Linked DNA regions of Oryctolagus cuniculus. The protein of the gene in region 1 interacts with the protein of each later gene in a pairwise test. Links are inferred from orthologs where the notes say so. Each region holds a gene or a part of one and is shown in the gene's direction. Other genes may lie near its edges.

What was found.
Region 2: the proteins of ACY3 (region 1) and PMM2 interact in binary tests that used the Homo sapiens proteins (3 or more experiments, as listed by UniProt). The two-hybrid records come from large-scale screens. The link is inferred for Oryctolagus cuniculus from reciprocal best matches to the Homo sapiens genes ACY3 and PMM2.
Region 3: the proteins of ACY3 (region 1) and PLEKHF2 interact in binary tests that used the Homo sapiens proteins (3 or more experiments, as listed by UniProt). The two-hybrid records come from large-scale screens. The link is inferred for Oryctolagus cuniculus from reciprocal best matches to the Homo sapiens genes ACY3 and PLEKHF2.

The regions. Positions count from the first base shown.
Region 1 is NC_091432.1:4,480,218-4,487,338, forward strand, and holds ACY3 (N-acyl-aromatic-L-amino acid amidohydrolase (carboxylate-forming)), read left to right. Parts: upstream 1-2,323; 5' UTR 2,324-2,767; coding exon 2,768-3,003; intron 3,004-3,658; coding exon 3,659-3,854; intron 3,855-4,053; coding exon 4,054-4,147; intron 4,148-4,312; coding exon 4,313-4,420; intron 4,421-4,494; coding exon 4,495-4,604; intron 4,605-5,356; coding exon 5,357-5,572; 3' UTR 5,573-6,022; downstream 6,023-7,121. UniProt on the Homo sapiens protein: Plays an important role in deacetylating mercapturic acids in kidney proximal tubules. Also acts on N-acetyl-aromatic amino acids.
Region 2 is NC_091450.1:27,392,660-27,399,822, reverse strand, and holds the start of PMM2 (phosphomannomutase 2), read left to right. Parts: upstream 1-2,506; 5' UTR 2,507-2,677; coding exon 2,678-2,743; intron 2,744-7,163. Other genes in the region: TMEM186 (transmembrane protein 186), read right to left, coding at 1,176-1,814, 2,424-2,426. UniProt on the Homo sapiens protein: Involved in the synthesis of the GDP-mannose and dolichol-phosphate-mannose required for a number of critical mannosyl transfer reactions.
Region 3 is NC_091437.1:120,536,989-120,544,392, forward strand, and holds the start of PLEKHF2 (pleckstrin homology domain-containing family F member 2), read left to right. Parts: upstream 1-3,276; 5' UTR 3,277-3,477; exon of another isoform or gene 3,478-3,556; intron 3,557-3,932; exon of another isoform or gene 3,933-4,072; intron 4,073-5,524; exon of another isoform or gene 5,525-5,576; intron 5,577-6,704; exon of another isoform or gene 6,705-6,826; intron 6,827-6,876; exon of another isoform or gene 6,877-7,404. UniProt on the Homo sapiens protein: May play a role in early endosome fusion upstream of RAB5, hence regulating receptor trafficking and fluid-phase transport. Enhances cellular sensitivity to TNF-induced apoptosis.

The DNA.
Region 1 (7,121 bases):
AGAACGGCAGTGGGGTGAGTCCTGCCTCCGTCTCCGGCAGGGAGGGCTGGGCAGGGCGGTCCCGGAGCGAAGCGGGACGGGGAGACCTGGCCGAGGCCAGGGTGTGGGGAGGTAGGCGGATCCCAACCCGGGGTGAAGGGGCGGTGGCACCAGGCAGCGTCCCCACCGTCACGGCCACCACTGGGGAGCCGACAGCCTCGGTGACGACACCCGGGCCTGCACGCAGCCCCCCACCCCCACCCGGTTCCCCGACTCCAGGCACCACAGCAATGCCAGCCCGGATGTGGGGCTCGAACTGCCGCCCTGCCGTGCCCTCTGTCCCAGCGTTGGGCTGCAATGCTGCACCTACACCCAGGAAGGCCCTGCGCCCTCCACAGCCAGGTCCCCAGGCGGAGCCCGGCCTGTGCCCCCCCATCTCCACCGCAGTGCCTGGCATCAACTGGTGCCTGGCGTCGTGGGGGGCAGTGGAGTGGGAGGGAGAGAGGGGAGACGTCGCCGCTCCCCCCACCTCCCCAGCCCGATGGTGAGCAGGAGCCGCCCAGCCTGTCTGTGTGTCCGGCTGGCACCTGCTGCCCTGTAGCTTCCAGTCCGCCACATGTGGCCCCAGCCCGGCCTCTCCCGGTCTCTGCCTCGGTGCCGCCCCGCCCTGCGCCACGAGGCCCAGCCCCGTGGTCCCCACGACCCCTCCAGCCTCACCTCGGGCGGAGACTTGACTGAAGCGACAGGTGGACGTCAGGGCACACACCTGGCGTCCAGGGCGGGCGCTTGAGAGGGCGGCCAGGGCAGGGTGGGGTGGGGGAGGCCCGGGATGGAGTCAGGCCTCCTGCAGCCACAGTGAAGCGGGCAGCCCGTGCCGCTTCTCTGGAATGACGGGTGCCCGGGAGACCAGGCTGACGGCAGGGAGGGCACCGTCGGCGAGAGGCGGAAAAGACCCACAGAGGGGGCCACGGGGTGACAGGGCCCACTCGGGAGCGTGCACGGTCAGGCAGGGGCTCCAAGGCCACAGCAGAGACCAGCGGGCTCCAGGCGTGGCTCCCAGGCCACACGGCCCCGCCGGGACCAGCAAATCCATGCAGGGCTGCCTGGGGCTCTGAGCCCTCTCTGGTCTGTCTCCCTGTGAAAGCTGACGCTTTTATTGAGAGAGAGAGAGAGAGAGAGAGAGAGAGAGAGAGAGAGAGAGAGGTATTTAGTTATATGAGAGAGAAAGGCTTCTATCTGCTGATGCACACATGGTCCCGACAGCCAGGGCTGGGCCAGGCAAAGCCGGGAGTCGAACTCCATCCACGACTCCCACGTGGACGCAGGGGCCGGGCGCTCGGGCCATCACCCGTTGCTTTCCCGGGCGCGTTAGCAGGGAGGTGGATTGGAAGCAGAGCAGCCGGCACTCGAACCCGGCACTCTGATACGGGATGCGGCTCTCCCACGCGTGGCTTAGCCCGCCGTGCCACGACGCCCACCCCACTCTCTCGCCCAGGGGCTGCCCGCACATGCGCTGTTTCCAGCGGCCCGCGGCCCTTGCTCCCCTCTGCTCACAGCTGTCCTGGGCTCCCAGGCAGGAGCGGAGACTCAGAGAGGGTGTGACGTCTCTTGGGGTCACACAGCCTGCCAGGGAGCACAGGTCCCAGCCTGGGGAGGCCCCCTGGGACCAGGGGTGTCCCCAGGCCCCACGACCCCCAGTGTAGGGGTGCGGGCCAGCAGCAGCTTCAAGGAGGGTTAGCCCAGAGGGGCCTGGCTGCCCTGTGGGGCCTTGGGGTCCCAGGACCTGGCCTCCGGGGGCACTAGGTGGCCAGGCTGACCGCCACGCCTCTGCCTGCCTCCCTGTCAGTGACCTCTGGACCGTGCTCCCCCCAGCAGAGAGCTGAGCCCATGCCAAGTGCAGGGGACTTTGCCTTGCCCCCCCACTGCGCGCAGAGGGGCACAGCGGGGGCAGGGCGGGTTGGAGGGGTTGCCGCCCGCCCCTCGTGCTCTGAGTGCCATTGACCACTCTGTTTCGGCCTCAGTTTCCACATCTGTACAATGGGTCCTGAGAGTCGTTTCTGGAAGTCATGCCAGCGCCTAGAACAAGGAGAACACAGCTGTGGCGGGACTCGTGGCCGTTTCATGGAGCCTCGCGAGCCGCAGAACCGGGGCCCTGGGACAGGCAGGGCCGGGAGGGGCCGGGGTGAGGCTCCTCACCTGGCCTGCCCCGACCGTGACTTCCAGGGCTTGGTCCCTCTGCCCGCAGGGAGCCTCCCCTGGGCCTGGGAGGCAGGGCAGCTGCCTGGACTCAGTGGGCCGTGCAGGACGGGGCGGAGCCGGGGTGCGACCTTTGGCTGTGGACCTCAGCCCCTGGCCTCTGCTGGCTTAGCACAAACACTTCCCGTCCCCAGAGCTCCGGGCCCACACACAGCGCTGACCTGGGTGGCCAGGCCCCGGGGAGCCCAGGCTCTCAGGCAGGGCAGGCAGGGGTGGCCTGGGCCCGGCTCCGGACAGCCACCTCCCGCTCTGATGCTGTCCGGTCCCCGGCTCCGAGACGGAGGCCTAGGGCTCTCCCTGTGAGCCCCTCCCTGGGGTCTCCCTCCCCACCGCGCCCCCACCCCGCTCTTCTCACCCCAGAGGGAGCAGGAAGCCCCCAGAGAAGGGAGAGGTCCCAGGCAGGGGCGCCAGTGACGACCTCCGCGGGGGCCGGGGGCTCTCACGGCTGACGGCCCCTCCAGCTGCACCACCCGGGGAGCTCACCGCCGGGCCCTGCGTGCGCCCACCCGCCAGGCAGCCACCCACGCACAGCATGTGCGCGCTGCCAGTGCCCCGGGAGCCCCTGCGCCGCGTGGCCGTGACCGGGGGCACCCACGGCAACGAGCTGTCCGGCGTCCACCTGGTGCGGCACTGGCTGCGGGCGCCGGGGGAGCTGCGGAGACCCAGCTTCGCCGCCACGCCCGTGCTGGCCAACCCGGCCGCCGCGGCCGCCTGCCGCCGCTACGTCGGCTGTGACCTCAACCGGGCTTTCACCAGCGGCTTCCTCAGGTGCGCGCCCTTGCCCCTGCCTTCGCTCTGGCTCTCCCACTTCCTGGGCCGCTGTTCCTCCCTCCTCCATTCCAGGCAGAAATCCAGACAGAGGCCACCTCCTCCAGGAAGCCCTCCAGACTGCAGGCTGGGCCGGGCTCCCCAGCCCCGGGGGTCCTCTCAGAGCAGGCCCACAGGCTGTGTTTACCTGTCTTGCACCCCCGTCTCCCCTTCCTGCCTTTCTTCAGTGGGCATCCACTGAGGCCAGGCTCCGGCCGGCTCAGGATGGGAATGGGCCTAGGACCGAGGGGTAAGCCTCAGTGTGCTAGGAACACAGAGGCCGATACGGCAGCCACAACCCCGGAGGCTGCATGCAGGGGCGTGGGCCACGGGCAGTCAGGGAAGGCTTCCTGGGGGAGGCAGTGTCTCAGCCAAGCCCCCAAAAGTGAGAAGTTAGCCAGGTGAGGAGAGGAGTGACCAGCGAGGGCCCAGCGGGTGACAAGGCCCTGCAGGTGGATAGGGCGGTGGACAGGACAGGTGGACAGGGCGGTGGACAGGGCCGGGACAAGGGCTGGGGCTTCGTGGGGAAACGCAGGAGGGCGGACCACCGTCGTGAGTGCCCCTGCGGACGGACTGAAGCTCTGGGGGCTGGCGTCCCCCGTCTCTATCCCCGTAGCGCGAAGGCCAGTCCAGACGACCCGTATGAGGTGACAAGGGCCCGGGAGCTGGACCAGCTCCTGGGGCCCAAAGCCTCGGGCGCGGCCTTCGACCTGGTCCTGGACCTGCACAACACCACAGCCAACGTGGGCACCTGCCTCATCGCCGAGACGGCCCACCAAGTCTTCGTCATGCACCTGTGCCGCCACCTGCAGGTGGCCCCGCCCCCGGTGGGGGAGGGGTGGGGGCAGTGGGGACAGAGTGGGGGGCTCTCTCGGGCTTCCTTCCCTGGGGTTAGCTCCAGTCCTGCACCCCAGGACCGAGGGAGACCGGGTGTTGGTGTAGGGTGTCCCGTGCTCCCCCCACCCCCACTGCCTCAGTTTCCCCTCCCTGACCCGCCTCTCCCGGCCGCAGCTGCAGACCCCAGAGCTGCCCTGCCGGGTCCTCCTGTACAAGCAGCCGGGGGAGGAGAGCTACCACGTGGGCTCTGTGGCCAAGAACTCGCTGGGTAGGCCACGCCCCTGGGAGAAGTGGGCGGGGCCTGACCGATTGGATGTGGCCACAAGGGCTGGGCTTCTTTGATAAGTGGGCGGGGCCACGAGGGCAGGGCGGGGCCTGGTCTTGGGGCCGCCCCCCTTGCTGCTCCTACCTCTCTCTGCCCCCGGCCCCCCAGGCCTGGAGCTGGGCCCGCAGCCTCAGGGCGTGCTGCGGGCCGACGTCTTCTCCCGCATGAGGGCCCTGGTGGCCTCCACTCTGGACTTCGTGGAGCTCTTCAACCAGGGTGAGGCCCCTGGGGGGCGTGCGGGAGCCGAGGCCCGCGAGCGCGCGTATCTCACCTCGCCCCACCCCACACAGGGGCCGCCTTCCCAGCCTTCGAGATGGAAGCGTACAGAAACCTGGGCGGCGTGGACTTCCCTCGCACGGCCGACGGGGACCTTGCGGGCACCGTGCACCCCCAGCTGCAGGTGTGTGGGCGGGCCTCTGGGGGGATCCAGGCGCCCACGCCCCGGCCCTGGCGCCCCGTGGTCCTCTCGACTCCAGGGCAGGCGCAGCAGCCTGGACAGCGAGCCCCGGGAGGGCGCCAACGCGGAACCCGCGAGCGCCCCCAACCCCGCGCCCCGGGCCTGCCCTTCCCGGGGTTCCGGGACTCGCCCTGCTGCTCCGGCCGGTGCCGCGCGGGGGCGCTGTGGAACAGGGCTCGGTGCGGTCCTGAGCCCGGCTCTCGGGTTGGGGTGCAGGGAGGGAGCCCCAGCAGTCGGGGCCAGCTGGCCTGGCCCCCTTGCAAGCGGTGAGCATAAGAGTCACTTTGGGTGCCCTACCCTACAACTGAGCGTTCACACAGTCTCCAGCGCTGTTGACCCCCTGACCTTGAGACTCAGAAACGGGGCGGGGGTGAGACGTGGGGACCCCGGTTTTGCAGACCAGGAGGTTGGGGAACAGAGGGGTTAACGTGACTTCCTGAGCGTCACACCCCCACCAAGGATTCGAACCCGTTTCTGAGTCCATAACCTTTAGGCTAGGTTTCCATAGCAACAGGTGTGTTTCCAGGGCGACTGGCAGCAGGGTGGGTCCTCACCAGGTACCCGGTCACAGGGGCGGGAGGGCCAGCCGGAGTGAGGGGTGCCTCTGGGCTGCCGCCAGCTGGGGCCGCTGTCCATTGGGGCGGGGCGGGGGCAGAGGTCAGCCCCCCAACCTTGGCCTCCGGCTCCCCCTCCAGGACCGAGACTTCGAGCCCCTGCAGCCCGGCGCCCCCATCTTCCAGCTGTTCAGCGGCGAGGACGTGTGCTATGAGGGGGAGTCCACTGTGTACCCCATATTCATTAACGAGGCCGCCTACTACGAGAAGGGCGTGGCCTTCATCCGGACGGAGAAGTTCACCTTCTCCGTGCCCGCCCTGCCCGCGCTGGCCCCCACCCCCACCCTGGTGCCCTAACCCATGCTGCTGACCAGGCTCTGCCCCCGGGGCCCCCCTACTCCCCCACCCAGGCCTCAATTTCCCATTCTGTAAAATGGAAGACGGGCCGGCGCCGCGGCTCACTAGGCTAATCCTCCGCCTAGCAGCGCCGGCACACCGGGTTCGAGTCCCAGTCGGGGCGCCGGATTCTTTCCCGGTTGCCCCTCTTCCAGGCCAGCTCTCTGCTGTGGCCTGGGAGTGCAGTGGAGGATGGCCCAGGTGCTTGGGTCCTGCACCCCATGGGAGACCAGGAAAAGCACCTGGCTCCTGGCTCCTGCCATCGGATCAGCGCAGTGCGCCGGCCGCAGCGCGCCGGCCGCGGCGGCCATTGGAGGGTGAACCAACGGCAAAGGAAGACCTTTCTCTCTGTCTCTCTCTCTCACTGTCCACTCTGCCTGTCCAAAAAAAAAAAAAAAAAAAAAAAAAAAAGGAAGACGCCCGGGGGACCCATGGTCTGTGTCTTTGGTCTGTTGTGCAGGGGAAGTGGGTGGAGGCGGGGAGGCTTGCCCACGGCATCTGGGGTGGGTCTGGTCAGCGCTGCCCTGGGCACACCCATCTGTGGGGGGGTGGGGGGGCACCCAGAGCTGGGAGAAGCAGCCAGAGAGGGAGAAGACAGAGAGGTCCCAGCCCAGAGGGGAGGTCCAGCCAGCTGCTGGACACAGCATGGCCCGAGGCTTGGTCTGGGGCCAGCAGAGCCCTGGCCACGTACTGGGACGCTTGGCCCTGCACGCACCTGCCCCCTGTGCCCCTCAGAGGGTGGGCGTTCTTCCATGCACACAGTGTCTGAAGCTTAGTTCCCGAGTGTCCTGTGGGCATCTGTATGTGGGTGCAGACACAGCGGGCTGTGGAGTTCTGGGTGTGGAATGAGCCTATGCCCGTGATGGCCCTGGGTGACAGGGCTGCGGGGAGGGATGCCAGCACGGCCTTCCACCTGCCGTGACACAGGGAGGAGGTGCCTCAGGCTGCGGCACAGGGACGCCCTGCCCCCTCCACCGCGTCCACCATCCCCAGAACCCCCGCTGTGGTGCCAGAGGGGGCAGGCAGGGTGCCCTGGATGGGGTCCCCCCACCCCGTCCTGGTGCAGGCACCCTCCAGGGCGGGCCGGCTGCGGCTCACTGCCCGCATCTGCCCGAGCCCGAGGAAGTGGTCTTGGCTGGACGGAGCCCAGGGCTCGGTTCCCTGGAAGCAGCACCGCTGGGCGGGCTCCAGGTGGGCTCCGGCTGTCCGGCCCAGCCCATCCGTCTCCCCGAGGCCACGGCTGCCGCGCGCATCCTGCTATTGAGCAGTGAGATGAGAAGGTGTGAAAGACGCAGGGGCGCCAGGGACCGGCTGACAGCAGGACGGATGAGGGGCAGGGGCCGCCAGGCGCCTCGGGCAGGACGGGCGGGGAGGGGCGTGCAGCGAGATGGGCGTGTGCGTGGCGAGTGTGTGTGCGTGTGTGTTCACTGGAGCTTGCGTGTGTGTGCGTGTGGGTTAGGGAGTCAGTGGACGCATGGGGGGGAGGGCAGTGCCTCCTATTACACTGGTC
Region 2 (7,163 bases), on another chromosome or scaffold:
CAATACCGTCCAGCTATAAGGAAGAATTACATGCCACTACACGCTACCCACACGTTGAAAACATCACACCAAGCCAACGAAGCCAGTCACGAAAGGGCACATACTGTGTGATTCCAGGCCATGCCATGTCCAGACAGGCAGATTCTAAGGCAGAAGGGGATTAGTGGCTGCCAACGGGAGAGCGAGTGCTGCTCTGTGGGTACAGAGGCCCTGGGATGGTGAAAAACTTCTGGGGGTGAACTGTGGGGGTGGTTACACCACACTGCAAATGTACTTACTGTCCCTGAACTGTACACTTAACATGGTTACAACGATACATTTGTGATGAGTACATGACAATGAAAACAGAGGTGATACGAAATTTATTGACTTATGCGTGGCAAAATCACGAAGACCTTTACCCTGCTACAAGCTACGTGGCCGACACACACACCGATCACGGGAGGCAACACGCAGAGGTAGAGCACTACACACACCCATCTGGCTCCATGACGCAGCGGGACGGCCTCGGCCTGTGGGTGCGGAACATCTCAGCTGGGGCGTCGCGCCTCACTCGGGGTGCAGTTACCATCCTGGGAGGGTGCAATGCCCCCGCCACGCTTCGTCCCACTCTTCTGCTAAGGGGTGCATGGAGAGGCAGAACACAGGGCTCCCGCGCGCTGCCTGAAAGCCCCGACCACCACCTCTGAGCAGACGCTTCCCAGTCGCCCAGGGCTACGGCCTTGCATGTTTACTGTGTGTTCTGACATCCAGCCCACGAGACAGAAAGAACTTTCCGTTTGACAGACGTGAGAAACCAAGGCTCACACAGACTCCGTCAGCTGCCCAGAACAGCGAGCTGACAGCACCCCAAACCCTGTGCTCCTCCCACATCTGTCTTCCAAATACCCGTGAACTGTCCGGGTGACCGTGGCATAGCTTCCTCCAAGAACTGGATCCGAACAGAACCTCCTGGCCATTATCTGCAAGAACAGCACGCGCAAGTGCAGGAAGAATCCGCACTCGGGCGCCTTCCCGTAAACCTGGGTCCGAATTTCTGTGTTCTTCCGAAAAGACAAACTCCCAGGGTTCTGACAGTCTCTAGGGGCCCGATTCCCTCCTTCGGCCTCGTCTACACCCTCAGCCTTCTTGGTTAGTGACCCAAGGGGCCCAGGGCTTCCCAGAGGCCCAGCTGATCACTTGAGCGAGTCCAGTCTCCCAAACACCTGTGTGAAGCGCTCTCTGTCCAGGACGCGCCCGTAGCGCAGAGGTAGGTAGAAGGTCTGCTTCCCGCTGTACTGCTGGATGCGCACAAACACCTCGTGGGGCCGGTCCCTCGTCTCCGTCAGGGGGACCACGTCCGCCACGGGGCAGTACGTGTCCTGTCGCCAGCCCCAGAAGGTGAGGTGAGCCACCCGCAGCACGGTGCCCGACTCGTTCACATACAGGATGCCTACGAGCCTGCGGAAGAAATGGCTCATCCAGCACAGCATGGCCAGGGCGAAGCCAGCTATGCCACCCACCAGGCACAGCGAGTCGAGCGGCATGAGGCCCTGGGAGTACCAGTAGAAGCCGGGCGGCAGAGCCACCAGCGTCAGGGCCGTCTGCGCCACCTTCAGCCGAGATATGTACCCAAACGCTCTGATGGCATCGAAACGGTAGACCATCTGGAACTTCTCGGTCTCTGTGCCCGGGGCTTTCTCCTCGGAACCGGGAGACCTGCTCCGCACCCACCTCTTGGGATCCTCTCGCCCACCGCAGGACCACAGCCCGCAGAGGGGCTTTCCCCAGGCGGCCGGCCCCCGCCACCTGGGCACAGCTCGGAGGAGGGCAGCCTGGAAGGGAGACAAGAGACCGTTTCCTCTCAGAACTCGGCTTCCACCTGCGTGAGTTCGTTAGGCTTTACCAACGGGCACTCAGAACACACTGAACGAGACAACGGTTTTTACGCCGTAAACGCAGCACCACTGTGCATCAGCACCGGCAGGGGCTTGGTTCCGGGATGCACGACAAGACACCCAAACCAGAGGGCTCACGTCTCTTATGCAAAATGGCACAGTGTTTGTGTGATACCTTATACCACTACTACGATGGAAACGCGGCGTAAAGAGTGGTTATGGGGGATTCCTTTGGGAGTAGCAAGAGCCCGTAGGCGTTCCGCACAGACGCAGCTGTCTCGGCAGCTGAGTGAATCCATGGATGGGGAGCGCACGGATAAGCAGCGCCGACTGCTCGGGGCCCACCCTGAGCACCCCCGCGAGGCTCGCTAGCACCGCTGCTGGCCCACGTGACCCCGCAAGACCACAGCAAGCCGTGGAGGAGCACATCGTAACCCACATCGGGGCAATCGCCCCAGGACCCAACAAACCAGAAGCTCAGGATTCCTGCCTGTTTGCCCCAACACTGGCTCCGACCCCGACGCAGCCCATCACCCTCCTCCTTACCATGGCCCTGCTCCCTGGCGCCGGATACAACCTCACCGCCGCCGGAAACTCTAAGGGCGCATGCTCGGACTACGCGCGTTGCATGCTGGGAGTTGTGGTGTAGCGTCCGTGGCCGACGCTAGCCCCGGGCATTGTGGGAGGCTGTGGGAGTCTCTTCCCGACGTGCTCTGCGGCGAAGAGGGCCGAACCCGGAAGTTCCGGGTCGAGGTCCGGGTGCCAACGAGTCGTCTCAGGTGTGGACGGAAACGGGGGCCATGGCAGCTCCGGGACCAGCGCTTTGCCTCTTCGACGTGGACGGGACCCTGACCGCCCCGCGGCAGGTAGGCGGCGCGCAGAGGGCTGGCGGCAGCCGGCACGGAGCACTTTCTGCTCCTAGACGGGACGAACGACCGTCCAGCTTGGGTGCCTGGGTGCAACTGAGGACCGCCTCCCGCCTCCAGGGGCTGCCCTTGGTCTGGGTGCCCCAGCGGCGGGAGACGGGCCTGAAGCAGCTCGTCAAGATCCCGGGGTGCTCGGAGAGGGAGGGCGGGGTCGGGAAACTTGGGTTAGAACAAGCAGCCCGTTCTCTGGCCGCGAGCCCTGAACCCCAGCCGAGGCCCCCTCAGCAGCTGTGTGACCTTCCCCGTCCCGTCGCGCGTGGCTGGACCTTGGAGCGAGATGCTGAAAGCGCAGGGTTCGGGCCGGCGCTGCGGCTGTTACTAGTTAAACATCCGTGTGCCTGCGGCGCCGGCATCCCATATGGGCGCCGGGTTGAGTCCCACCTGCTCCACTTCGGATCCGGCTCCCTGCTGATGGCCTGGGAAAGCTGCAGTGGACGGGCCCGGTCCTTGGGCCCCTGCACCCATGTGGGAGACCCGGAAGAAGCTCCTGGCTTCGGATCAGCGCAGCCGCGGCCCTTGCGGCCATTTAGGGAGTGAGCCCTTGGGTGGAAGACCCCCTCTCTCTATCTCGACCTCTCTCTGTCTGCAACTCTGCCCTCAAATAGATAAATCTTAAAGAAAGAAAGTGTAGATTTCCTAGTCCAGAGGACCTAGCGGAGCCTCAGCTTGGGCCAGTTAGCCCCAGCCGGAAGCGGGGACAGTGCTTGTTACGTGTCATCCGAATAGGACCAAATGCAAGGTGTCTGCTCGCAGTAGGCCTCCGTAAGCACGGGCCGTCTCCACCCGCCCTGTGCAGCCCCTGCCGGGGTCGGGGTCGGGGTCGGGGGGACGTCCTAGGTCGTCACAGGCAGCCTGGTGAGTCTCTGCACCCTTGGAAGCGTGCCCCCCGCGCTCAGATCTGCCTGCTGCGGGCGCGCGTACGTTTCAGCTACGATCAGCTTCGTGGCGAGGCTCTCCCTTGTACAGACTGGTCGCAGGAACACCAGCCATGGGAGGCAGCAGTCAGCACACACCTGTGGGTTGTTAAAAGCCCTTACTGGCGGCCGGCGCCGCGGCTCACTAGGCTAATCCTCCGCCTGGCGGCGCCGGCACACCAGGTTCTAGTCCCGGTCGGGGCGCCGCATTCTGTCCCGGTTGCCCCTCTTCCAGGCCAGCTCTCTGCTGTGGCCAGGGAGTGCAGTGGAGGATGGCCCAAGTGCTTGGGCCCTGCACCCCATGGGAGACCAGGAGAAGCACCTGGCTCCTGCCTTCGGATCAGCGCAGCACCGTAGCGGCCATTTTGGGGGTTGAACCAAGAGAAGGAAAACCTTTCTGTGTCTCTCACTGCCTAACTCTGCCTGTCAAAAAAAAAAAAAAAAAAAAAAAAAAAACCATGCTGGCCTAGAACTGCAGCCAGCAATTCATTTTTTAAGAAAAGCCGTATAGTAAATGTTGTAGTCTTTGCAGACCATATGGTCTGCAATAACTACTCAGCTTATTGCAAAAGCAGCTGTAGACCGTGCAAAAACATGGGGTGGCTGTGTTCCAGTACAGGCCTGCTTTATTAGAAAAGCCAACATCTGGGGCAGGTACGTAGCATATGGTTAAAGCAGCACTTGGAACTCCAGCCTCCCACCGTGGAGTGCCTGGGTTTGAGTCCTGGCCCCACTCCTGATTGCACCTCGGGTCCCTGCCACCCACATGGGAGATACAGGTTGAGTTCCCAGCTCCTAACTTCAGCCTGGCCCAGCCCTGGCTGTGCAGACCTTTGAAGTTCACTCTCTCTGTGTCTACTTCTTCTTCTCCCTCTCCCTCTCCCTGTATCTCTCAAATAAACAATTTTTTTTTTTTTTTTTTTTTTAAGAAAACAACTGCTCGGTTTGTCCCATGGACCATAGTGGCCTGGGGTTTACATTTCCATGTCTTTTTACGTGATATTAGGCCCTCTTCACTTTCTTCCCTTTTTCATCTTAAGTAAAACAATTATTACTACCATTTTAAACAAAGAAACAGAGACCCCATAAAGGTCTGACTGCCTCAGCTTCACGCAGTACTGGGGTCTCAGGGCATTGTCGTTTGTCAGTTCTCGCGAGGTCTTGCAGTGGAAGGTGTCCAGTTGTCCTGTGCCATTCAGGAAGGTGTTTCTCAATCTCAGAAACAATGGGGCTGTGCGCACACAAAGTATAAAATAGCAAAGAAACCTGGCAACTGAGAATGTATTCCTTTGAAATACATATTCTTTGCAACGAATGTAAATTTTTTTTTTTTTTTTTGACAGGCAGAGTGGACAGTGAGAGAGAGAGAGACAGAGAGAAAGGTCTTCCTTTACCATTGGTTCACCCTCCAATGGCCGCTGCGGCCGGCGCACCGCGCTGATCGGAAGGCAGGAGCCAGGTGCTTCTCCTGGTCTCCCATGGGGTGCAGGGCCCAAGCACTTGGGCCATCCTCCACTGCACTCCTGGGCCACAGCAGAGAGCTGGCCTGGAAGAGGGGCCACCGGGACAGAATCCGGTGCCTGACCGGGACTAGAACCCGGTGTGCCAGGGCCGCAGGTGGAGGATTAGCCTAGTGAGCCGCGGCACCGGCGTAAATAATTTTAACAATCAAAAAATAGAATCCATAATTTAAAAGAAAATTGTTTCTTAAGTAAAAAATAAATAAAAATGCTAGCAACAGATTTATTGATTATCCAGCCTTTCACTTCCTGATACATGTGCATTCTCATACCTTGAAGAGCACGTTGCTTTTTAGATTTACCTAGTTGAAAGGCAGTAGGGAGACAGGAGGTTATTGATAGATCTTCCATCTGCTGGTTCACTCTTCAAATGACTGCACTGGCTGGGCCTGGGGCAGACTGAAGCTGGGAGCCTGGAACTCCAAGCTGGGCTCCCATTGGACCACAGGGGACCAAGCGCCTGAGACATCTTGTGCCTTCCCAGACACATGGCCGCGTGCTGGATCGGCAGAGAGCAGCTGGGGGCTGAATGGTGCTCTGATGTGGGACGCCGCCATAGAGGTGGTGGCTTAACCTCCTGTGCCACAACGCTGGGCCCACACATTGCAATCCTGAGGCAAAAGAACGGGCTCTGTCTTCCTGCAGCTGCTGGCACAGGACATGACCTAAACAGTAGACTGATTAGCACGCACTCCAGAGATTCGCACGTGTCAGTGTTGTAGAAGCTTGTTGGTGCTCAGTCCTTTCCTTAACACGCTGTTTCATCTAAAGCTACTTGGAACTTCGAACCAAAGCCCGTAAGAAGAAAGGTGGCGCAAACCTAGGAGAATCGTTTTCCAACTTCCTATCATCAAAACTTTTTTTTTTTTTTTTTTTTTTTTTTGACAGGCAGAGTGGACAGTGAGAGAGACAGAGAGAAAGGTCTTCCTTTGCCGTTGGTTCACCCTCCAATGGCCGCCACGGCCGGCGTGCTGTGGCCGGCGCACCGCGCTGATCCGATGGCAGGAGCCAGGTGCTTCTCCTGGTCTCCCATGGGGTGCAGGGCCCAAGCACTTGGGCCATCCTCCACTGCACTCCCGGGCCACAGCAGAGAGCTGGCCTGGAAGAGGAGCAACCGGGACTAGAACCCGATGTGCCAGGGCCGCAGGTGGAGAATTAGCCTAGTGAGCTGCGGTGCCGGCCATTAAAAACTTTCAAAAGTGTCGCTGAAACAGCCTAGAAGAGCTGCCTTAGACATAGACGCCATCTCTCACTGCTCCTGTGTCTCTCCGCCTCGAGGGGAATTGCTCTTTAGAAAAGGGACAGTCCTGCGCAGCAGTCGCAGTACACGACTCCTGTGACAGCATATGAGAGTGCCAGTTCAGATTCCGCCTGCTCCCGTTTCAGGCCAGCTTCCTGCTAACACATCCCGCAAGGCAGCAGAAGATGGTTCAGGTACTTGGGCCCCTGCCACCCACATGGGAGTCCTGGATAGAGTCTGGACTCCTGGTGTCACCTGGACCAGACCTGAGTGTTGCAAGCATTTGGGGAGTGAATCCGATGAGGAACCAAGAGATGGACGATCTCTCCTGCAGGACAGCTTCCTAGGCTGCACTCATCACTGACCCTTACCGCCACCTATTTTAGGCCTTGGCTGCATCTCTAGAGAACAAAACCTCAGCATCATTATTACACTTAAGAAAAGTCTACCAATTCTCTAATGCTTCATACTGTAGCCCAAGGCTTGATCAACTTTTTTCTGTAAAAGGCCAGATAGAAAAACAGTTGAGGCTTCACCGGCCATGTGGTCTTCGCCACAACATCTTGACTGTTGTAGCAGATCAGACGAGACACTGTGTATGAGGGGGCTTCCGAAAGTTCATGGAAAGTGGAATTGACACATCCATTTATTTGAGGTTCAAACTTTTAAAATCTGTGCATATGAGG
Region 3 (7,404 bases), on another chromosome or scaffold:
TTTGGAGAGTGAATCAGAGGATGGAAGACCTTTCTCTCTGTCTCTCCCTCTCTCTCTCTCTGTAACTATCAAAATCTTAAAAAATAAGATTTATTTATCTGAAAGGCAAAGTGACACTGAGAGGGAGGGGGAGAGAGGCAGACAAGACAGACAATAATCTTCCATCCACTGGTTCACTACCCAAAAGGCTGCGATGGTCAGGGCTGGTCCAGTCTGAAGCCAGCAGTGGCAGAGGCCCAAGTAACTGGGCCAGCTTCCCTATTTCCCAGGAGATTAGGTGGATTGGAAGCAGAGCACTGGGGACTAGCACTGGTGCTCCTATGTGGGATGTGGGTATCACAGTTGGCGGCTTAACCTGCTGCACCACAGTGCCAGCCCTGCTACTTTTTGTTAGAACAAAGCAGCTCTGGCCGGTGCCGCTGCTCACTAGGCTAATCCTCCGCCTTGTGGCGCCGGCACACTGGGTTCTAGTCCCGGTCGGGGCGCTGGATTCTGTCCCGGTTGCCCCTCTTCCAGGCCAGCCCTCTGCTGTGGCCAGGGAGTGCAGTGGAGGATGGCCCAAGTCCTTGGGCCCTGCACCCCATGGGAGACCAGGATAAGTACCTGGCTCCTGCCATCGGATCAGCGCGGTGCACCGGCAGCAGCATGCCGGCCGAGGCGGCCATTGGAGGGTGAACCAACGGCAAAGGAAGACCTTTCTCTCTGTCTCTCTCTCACTGTCCACTCTGCCTGTCATTGAAATCTGCCAGAAAAATATATGTAATAAATGTAAAATCTACAATGCCAACGAGAAAGGCACTTTCCCATAAGGATGTTCTCCTGCAACCTGTATAAGTATGCCTGACGACCCCATTGAGTAGTTGCTGAAGGTTTTCTGCAGGGAAATGACACAACCTTGGGAGGCTCCTGTGTGGAGGGGACTAGAGATCAGCAAAGTGTTTCAAAGGTAGATCCTGATATTTTGGAAGCAAAGAGATTGAATGGAGATGGGAAAGAGGATGAGAAAACCGTGACTCATCAGGTTTGTGTATGACAGTGCCATTTTACATGGATGGCCAAGACTGGCAGAAGACCAGGGCTGATGTGTGGAGAGGATAAGGAAATCAAGGCATAATCAAAACCCAGGTACTTGCTCCAGGTACTTGCCATCTCCCCTGACATGTCCTGACTTGAACTAAAAGTTAATCGAAGTCTTTTTTTTTTTTTTTTTCAAAATCCATATCCTCAGAAACCTTACTTATCAGCTTCAAGGACAATAACAAGAGCTTTTTTCCTTCAGGTTTATAAAGTTGGGCTAATTTAAATCCAAAGTTTACTAACACATTGAGGTTCCTCTCTGTTATCGGGACCCTGCCAGACACGAATCACTGTTATCGCACTTCCTCCACTCAGCAGTCTATGAGGTCGTGCCTATTTTTATCTTCACTTTACAAAGATGGGAGGCCCACAGAGAGATCTTATCACTGGATTTGATGGCAGCGCCACAGTTACAAGTCCAAGTCAGGAGTTGATCCTACTGCCTCCCAGTGCCTTGAAATCCCTTGTTTGTATCTGTGTGGCCAGTGTGCTCCAACATAACTTTCTGCAGTGATGGCAGTATTTCCCATCTGCACTGTCCAATAGTCATGCGGTTAGTGAGCACCTGAAATGTGATCCGTGTGACTGGGGAACCGACACTTTCACTGAATTAACCTAAATTTCATTAAGACATGTGGCTAGTGCCTATCGTATTTGTCAGCAGAGTTCCAAATCAGTGACCTGCACAGAGCCCAGGGAGAGCACACATTATGCTGAGTGCAGAAGAAAAGAAAACATATATACATATACACACATATAATATCATATGTAAATTGTCATATATACATACACACATACATAATAAACATAAATCATTGTTTTTCAGATTTTGTGTGTACTTTCTTGTTTATTTTTTGACAGGCAAAGTTAGTCAGTGAGAGAGACAGAGAGAGACAGAGAGAAAGGTCTTCCTTCCGTTGGTTCACCCCTCAAATAGCCTCTACTGCCAGCGCGCTGCACCTATCCGAAGCCAGGAGCCAGGTGCTTCTCCTGGTCTCCCATGCGGGTGCAGGGCCCAGGCACTTGGGCCATCCTCCACTGCATTCCCGGGGCCATGCCTTTTATAATGTACTAACAAATAAATTATAATGGATATGTGGGTGTTAAATACATATGATAATTTTTCACATTTTACTGCACTTACCATGTGCTAGGGACATGCTTTATGCATATTAATTCATTTAATTTTCAAAATGATTCTGTGAGGTAGATACTTCTATTGTCTTCATTTTACAAATGAGGAAACCAAGATAATATTTGGATGTAGCCAAGGACACAGGTAGTTGGGGTCAAAGCCAAGATTTGAGCATAGTCTGTCTGGTTTCTATCCACACACTTGATGGTAAGCTAAACAAGTACAGTGGAGGAGAGAGAGGCCAACATTTTGCTGCAGGGGGTGAGTAACCAAAGTTTTGGGGGCCTAATGTTTTAGACTAGACTTTACTGATCAAAGCATTCCCAATTTGAAAATTCAAAGGAACTTTGGAGTTTATTTAATCCAGCCTGTTTTCATGGGGACAGATACTGCTGCCTATGTAGAGGGAGACAAGGCCAAATTAAGTTGGAGTATAGTCATGGCTGAGACAGGAGTTCTGGGGCCATCTACACTTGTCTAGAGCTCACTATAGTTAACAAACTGAAACGAACGGGTGTTTGATCGTGATTCTGTAACTTTCCCTGGTTAAACAACCCAAAAAAAGGTGTTCACTTTTGGCCAGTTTTGTTTTGACTACCGATTAAAAAAAATTGTTTCGGAGCCACAGAACCAGGGAAAGCCGGGAGGGGACGGGACGCCCAGACGCCAAGAGCAGGTGTAAATAAAGCATGGTGGATCCCGAACTGCTCATTTCCCGTCAGTGATCCGCTACCTGCCGCGTGGCTGGTGGTGGTTCTAATTCAACAGCACTCAAAAGAAAAAAAAAATTGCTACAAAGACTAGGTCAATGGAAAATACAAAATTTACCAATACCTGACTCCCACCTACACACACTTTAAAAATGGACGCCGATCTCCCTCCTCCCTGCCTACCCCAGACAGCCCGCGCGCTTACAAACAGGTGCCGCCGGACAAACGAACGAGGGCACCTGTAACCTTGCGTACTGTCCTAGCGTCGCGGTCGCCAGGTGCGTGAAGTCAGTAGATGGGGTTCTGTGGCGTCAGATAAGTTTTGGAAACACTGAGTTCTACGGCTCGCACTGCAAAAGGCGGTGTGGGGAGCGTGCGCTTTCCCTCCGCTTCTAGAGGGAAGAATTTCAGAGAAAGGCACTGGAAGGCGGGATGGGCAGCAGCGCCTGGAGTAGCACACACAGGTGTGCTCGGACGCCTGGGAGCATCTAAATCCGAAGCCTTCCCTCTGCGTCCTTCAGTTTCCTGGGGAGGCCTGCTGTGGAGGTGGAGAAGGTAGTCTTCCATTCTTCTAGGCTCCCTAAGAACTTCGCACACACCTGAACAGTCCTCTCCCCGGGCTCGACCGAGCCAGGTAACTCGCAGCGCGCGGACCTTAACGACCACGAGGCGCGCGGCGCACGGTGCAGCGCAGGAGCAGGCACCCCACCCTCCCCGCGCTCGCCTGACGCCCGGGTGGGTGTGGCCTCCGCCGAAGGCCCCGCCTCTGGAGCGCGACGCGCGGGCAGGGCGGGGCGGGGCGGGGCGGGACCAGGGAACTGGCAAGAAAGGGCGGGGAGCGAGCGGTGTGGGTGTGCTCGTGCCCGCGCGCTCGCGCCCGGCGTGAGGACGGAGACGCGCCCTGCACGCGCAGGGGAGAGGCCAGCCCAGCAGCCGTTGTGGGGTTCGACTTGGAGGGGCGGGGGAGTCACCTGCGAGCGGCTGCGCCGGCCGCCCGCCCTCCTGCCGCGTCTGGATCGCGCCGGCTGAGCGGGACCGCCGGCGCACGGAGCCTGCGAGGTCAGAAAACAGCGGAACGGGCAGAGTCCGCGCTCGCCGTCAGCGACGAGCAAGAGTCGGTTCTTTGCCGCCGCTGGCTGCGCCCTGCCGGGTAGGTGAAGCCGGGCTTGGTGGCCCGCCGGCTGCGGGTGGGCTGAGAGGGGAGAAGCGAAACTTTCGGGCGCTTCCTCCCGCGGTCCCGGGGCCGTCCGCGGCGCGGGGAGGTGTCGCCGTCGCGGGCGGCGGCGGCGGCGGCGGCGGCGGCCGACGCCATGTTGGGGTCTGTGAGAAACGGGGCGCTCTCGGGCGGCTCCCCCAGCGCCCGGGGCCGGCCTGCGGGCGGGTCGCGGCCGCCGTCCCGCCGGGCCCGCCAGCGCCGGAGCGAGCCGCCTGCGCGTGCGGGACGCAGCCACTGCGAGGGGCCTCGGGGGCCGCCCGGGAGCGTCCGGCCCTCGTGGGTCCGCGGGGCGGGCGCGGGAAGGGGGCCCCCAGGTCCGGCGAGAAGTTGCGGGGCTTGAGGACCGGGGCCCAGGACGCGGGCAGTGCCGTCTCCAGACCCCAGCGCCTTTCTGTCCGGAAAGTTCGCAGGGTGTGGATCTCAGGGCGACCTTGTAACTTGAACATCATATTTCTGTGTGACTTGGGCGGGGAGGTGGGGAATGGCACTGTAGGGGGTTTGCTTTGATCGAAGGGATGACTTGGGCACTTTTTTATTTGGAGTCCTTTAAAGTTTTCTGGTCTTTCGCCGGTTTTTTTCTCTGAAGACTTGCTATCAGAGGCCGAGAGCTCGCTGGTGTAGCTCTCAGTACCTGATCGCAATAACTCGGAAGGGTGCGCCGTGGACAGGAGCAGAATGCAGGTTTCGGATACCTGAGCCCTTCGGAGTTAATTCGTAGACCGACGAAGTAAATGCCGTCTTTGTCGTGTTCTAGTACGGCCGAAGAGACTCTCTGTTAAAGTAGGATTTAGACACTACGTTGGCCGAGAGAGTCGAAGGCATGTGGTGTTCTGGTTAGAATATAGTGAAGTGACATTTCCAAGTAGTTTTCCTCTCCGTGGCTCCTTAAGGGTGCATGCCTTCCGTGTGTCGAGCGGTTGTTTTTTTTTTTTTTTTTTTTTTTTTCTGTACCCTTGGTAGCTCGCGGGGTCCTCAGGTTAATTCAGTATTAACAAAGGCTTCTATTTTTAATCTCCTGGGTCATGACAGCAGGGGAGGTGAATGGTATTAAGTTACTTATTTGGAAAGCACATGTAATCGCCTCAAAAAAAAAAAAAAAAAACAAAACTGGTGTACTAAGACCTCAGAAGAAAAGATTGAGTTTCAGTCGCCCCAGTAAATGAATAAAAACTATTTTTAATAAAACATCTTTGCTTTAAAATCCTGTTAAAAGACCGTTAACCACAAATGCAGTAAACTCCATGTTTTGGAGAGCTTCTCTTTTTACTCTTTCTGGGTGAAAATGTGATTTTTGCTCAGCTTCGCTTGCTGGTTACTTTAGTTCTTACAAATCCTTTTTGTGTTGCTTCATTGTCAAGTAAATGCCATCCATATTTATTTTTATAGCTGAAGAGTTAGTTGGACTTGAGATGACTTCACAAACCTAGCAGCCAGCCTGGTATGTTATTAACTGAGGTTTTATGGCCCTGAAGCCTTCTCATTTTTCTTACAGTGTAACTTTGTAGGGTACATAACCCATTCCTGTGGAGCAGTCCTTGTCCACCTTGTTTATTCTCATCACTGTTCTTTCTGATTTGATTTTAGCGCCTTAGTATAAATATTTCCTAGAAATCTGATTTACAAGGGTTGTTCTGCCAAAATTTTTCTTCCGAAAAATACTCGCTTAAGCCTCTGCTCTTGGAAGCCTTTTCTTCACTGTTCTTCCATTTGTCTCCTGAGAACTCAGTTCACTTCGCCCGTGGTATCCCGGTAAATACTGTGGCGCTTTGATAGCAGGCATCACATGGCTTCAGGTCTGATACTGCCCTTCCTCCCCAGCATGCTGAGAACATAGCAGATGCTCAGCAAAGGTTTGAATGGGTTACACATATGTTTGTTCCTTGTAAATATGCTTCATGAATTTCTTATTAAATTGTAATTTCCATGGGCACCGTGATTAAATCTCTGTGCAGTCTTTTCCAAAGTACATACCGTGAACTCCATTAAACCCACAGATTGGTTGATGGGGCTTTTTGTTTATTTGTTTATTTTGTTAGAATTTACCTAGTTAACTCAATGAATTTTGGCCTGGAGGTACAGAATTTGAATATTTATGAAATTTCCAAGTAGATAATAGGCTGAAGTATAATCACTGATGAATGGAAAGAAGCTGTGGGATCACCAAAAGGATTATAATAATTATCTTTAAATGAAATTGACTTTGCTTATGCTTGATGGAGATGTCTTTTACAAGATTTATTTATTTGAAATTCAGAGTGACAGAGAGAGGAGAGAAAGATATTACACTGGGGCCACCATTGGCATCCCATATGGGTCATGGTTCATGTTCCAGCTGCTCTGTTTCCAATCCAGCTCCCTGCTAATGTGCCTGGAAAAGCAGCGGCAGATGGCCCCTGTGCTTGGCTTCGGCCTGGCTCAGCTCCAGCCAGTGTGGCCTTAGGGGAGTGAACTTTTGAATGGAAGATCTCTGTCTCTATGTAACTCTACCTTTCAAATAAATAAACCTTTAAAAAAATACACATTAAAAAAAAAAAAAAAGATCTTCTCTCTGCTGATTACTTCTTAGATGGCTGCGGTGGCTGGTGCTGGGCCAGACTGAAGGCAGGAGCCTGGAACTCCATCTGGGTCTCCCACGTGGGTGGCAGGGGCCCAGGTTATTGGACCATTTTCTTTCTGCTGCTTTCACAGGTGTGTAAACAGGGAACTGGATTGGAAGCAGAGCAGCCGGGAGTCAATCAGTGCTCCAGTATGGGTTGCTGGTGTTGCAGGTGTCAGCTTAACTTGCTGTGCCACAGCGCTGGCTCTGGAAATACTATTAATACCTGAAAATTTTGAAGGTCATGTTTCTATATTTAAGCCCTTTGATAGAACAACTCATTGCTGTTCCACCAATCATTGTTTTGTCAGAATTTTCTTAGAATTTCATTTTAAAATGTCTTGCTTAGTGGAATTGCCTTTCTATTGATATGTTTATCTTTGAGAACGAACTTTTGAACATGAGCTGTCTAACGATGTGGGTGTTGGCTTAACTGAAACAGCCTTCCTAGGCATGCTTTTATGGTTACTAATTTAAATTGCAAAATCTCACCAGGTTAAAGTGTTCAGTAATTCTGTAATGACTATAGAATTTGAGGTTAATTTCCTGTTTCAGTCCAAGATAACTTTCTCTCTGGTCAATCTGTAAGACACAAACTGGAGTGCTCAATTTGGGGAGGTCCTTGGAAGAGAAGACATTCAGGTAGTTTCTGTGAGTGTAGTGGAAAGCA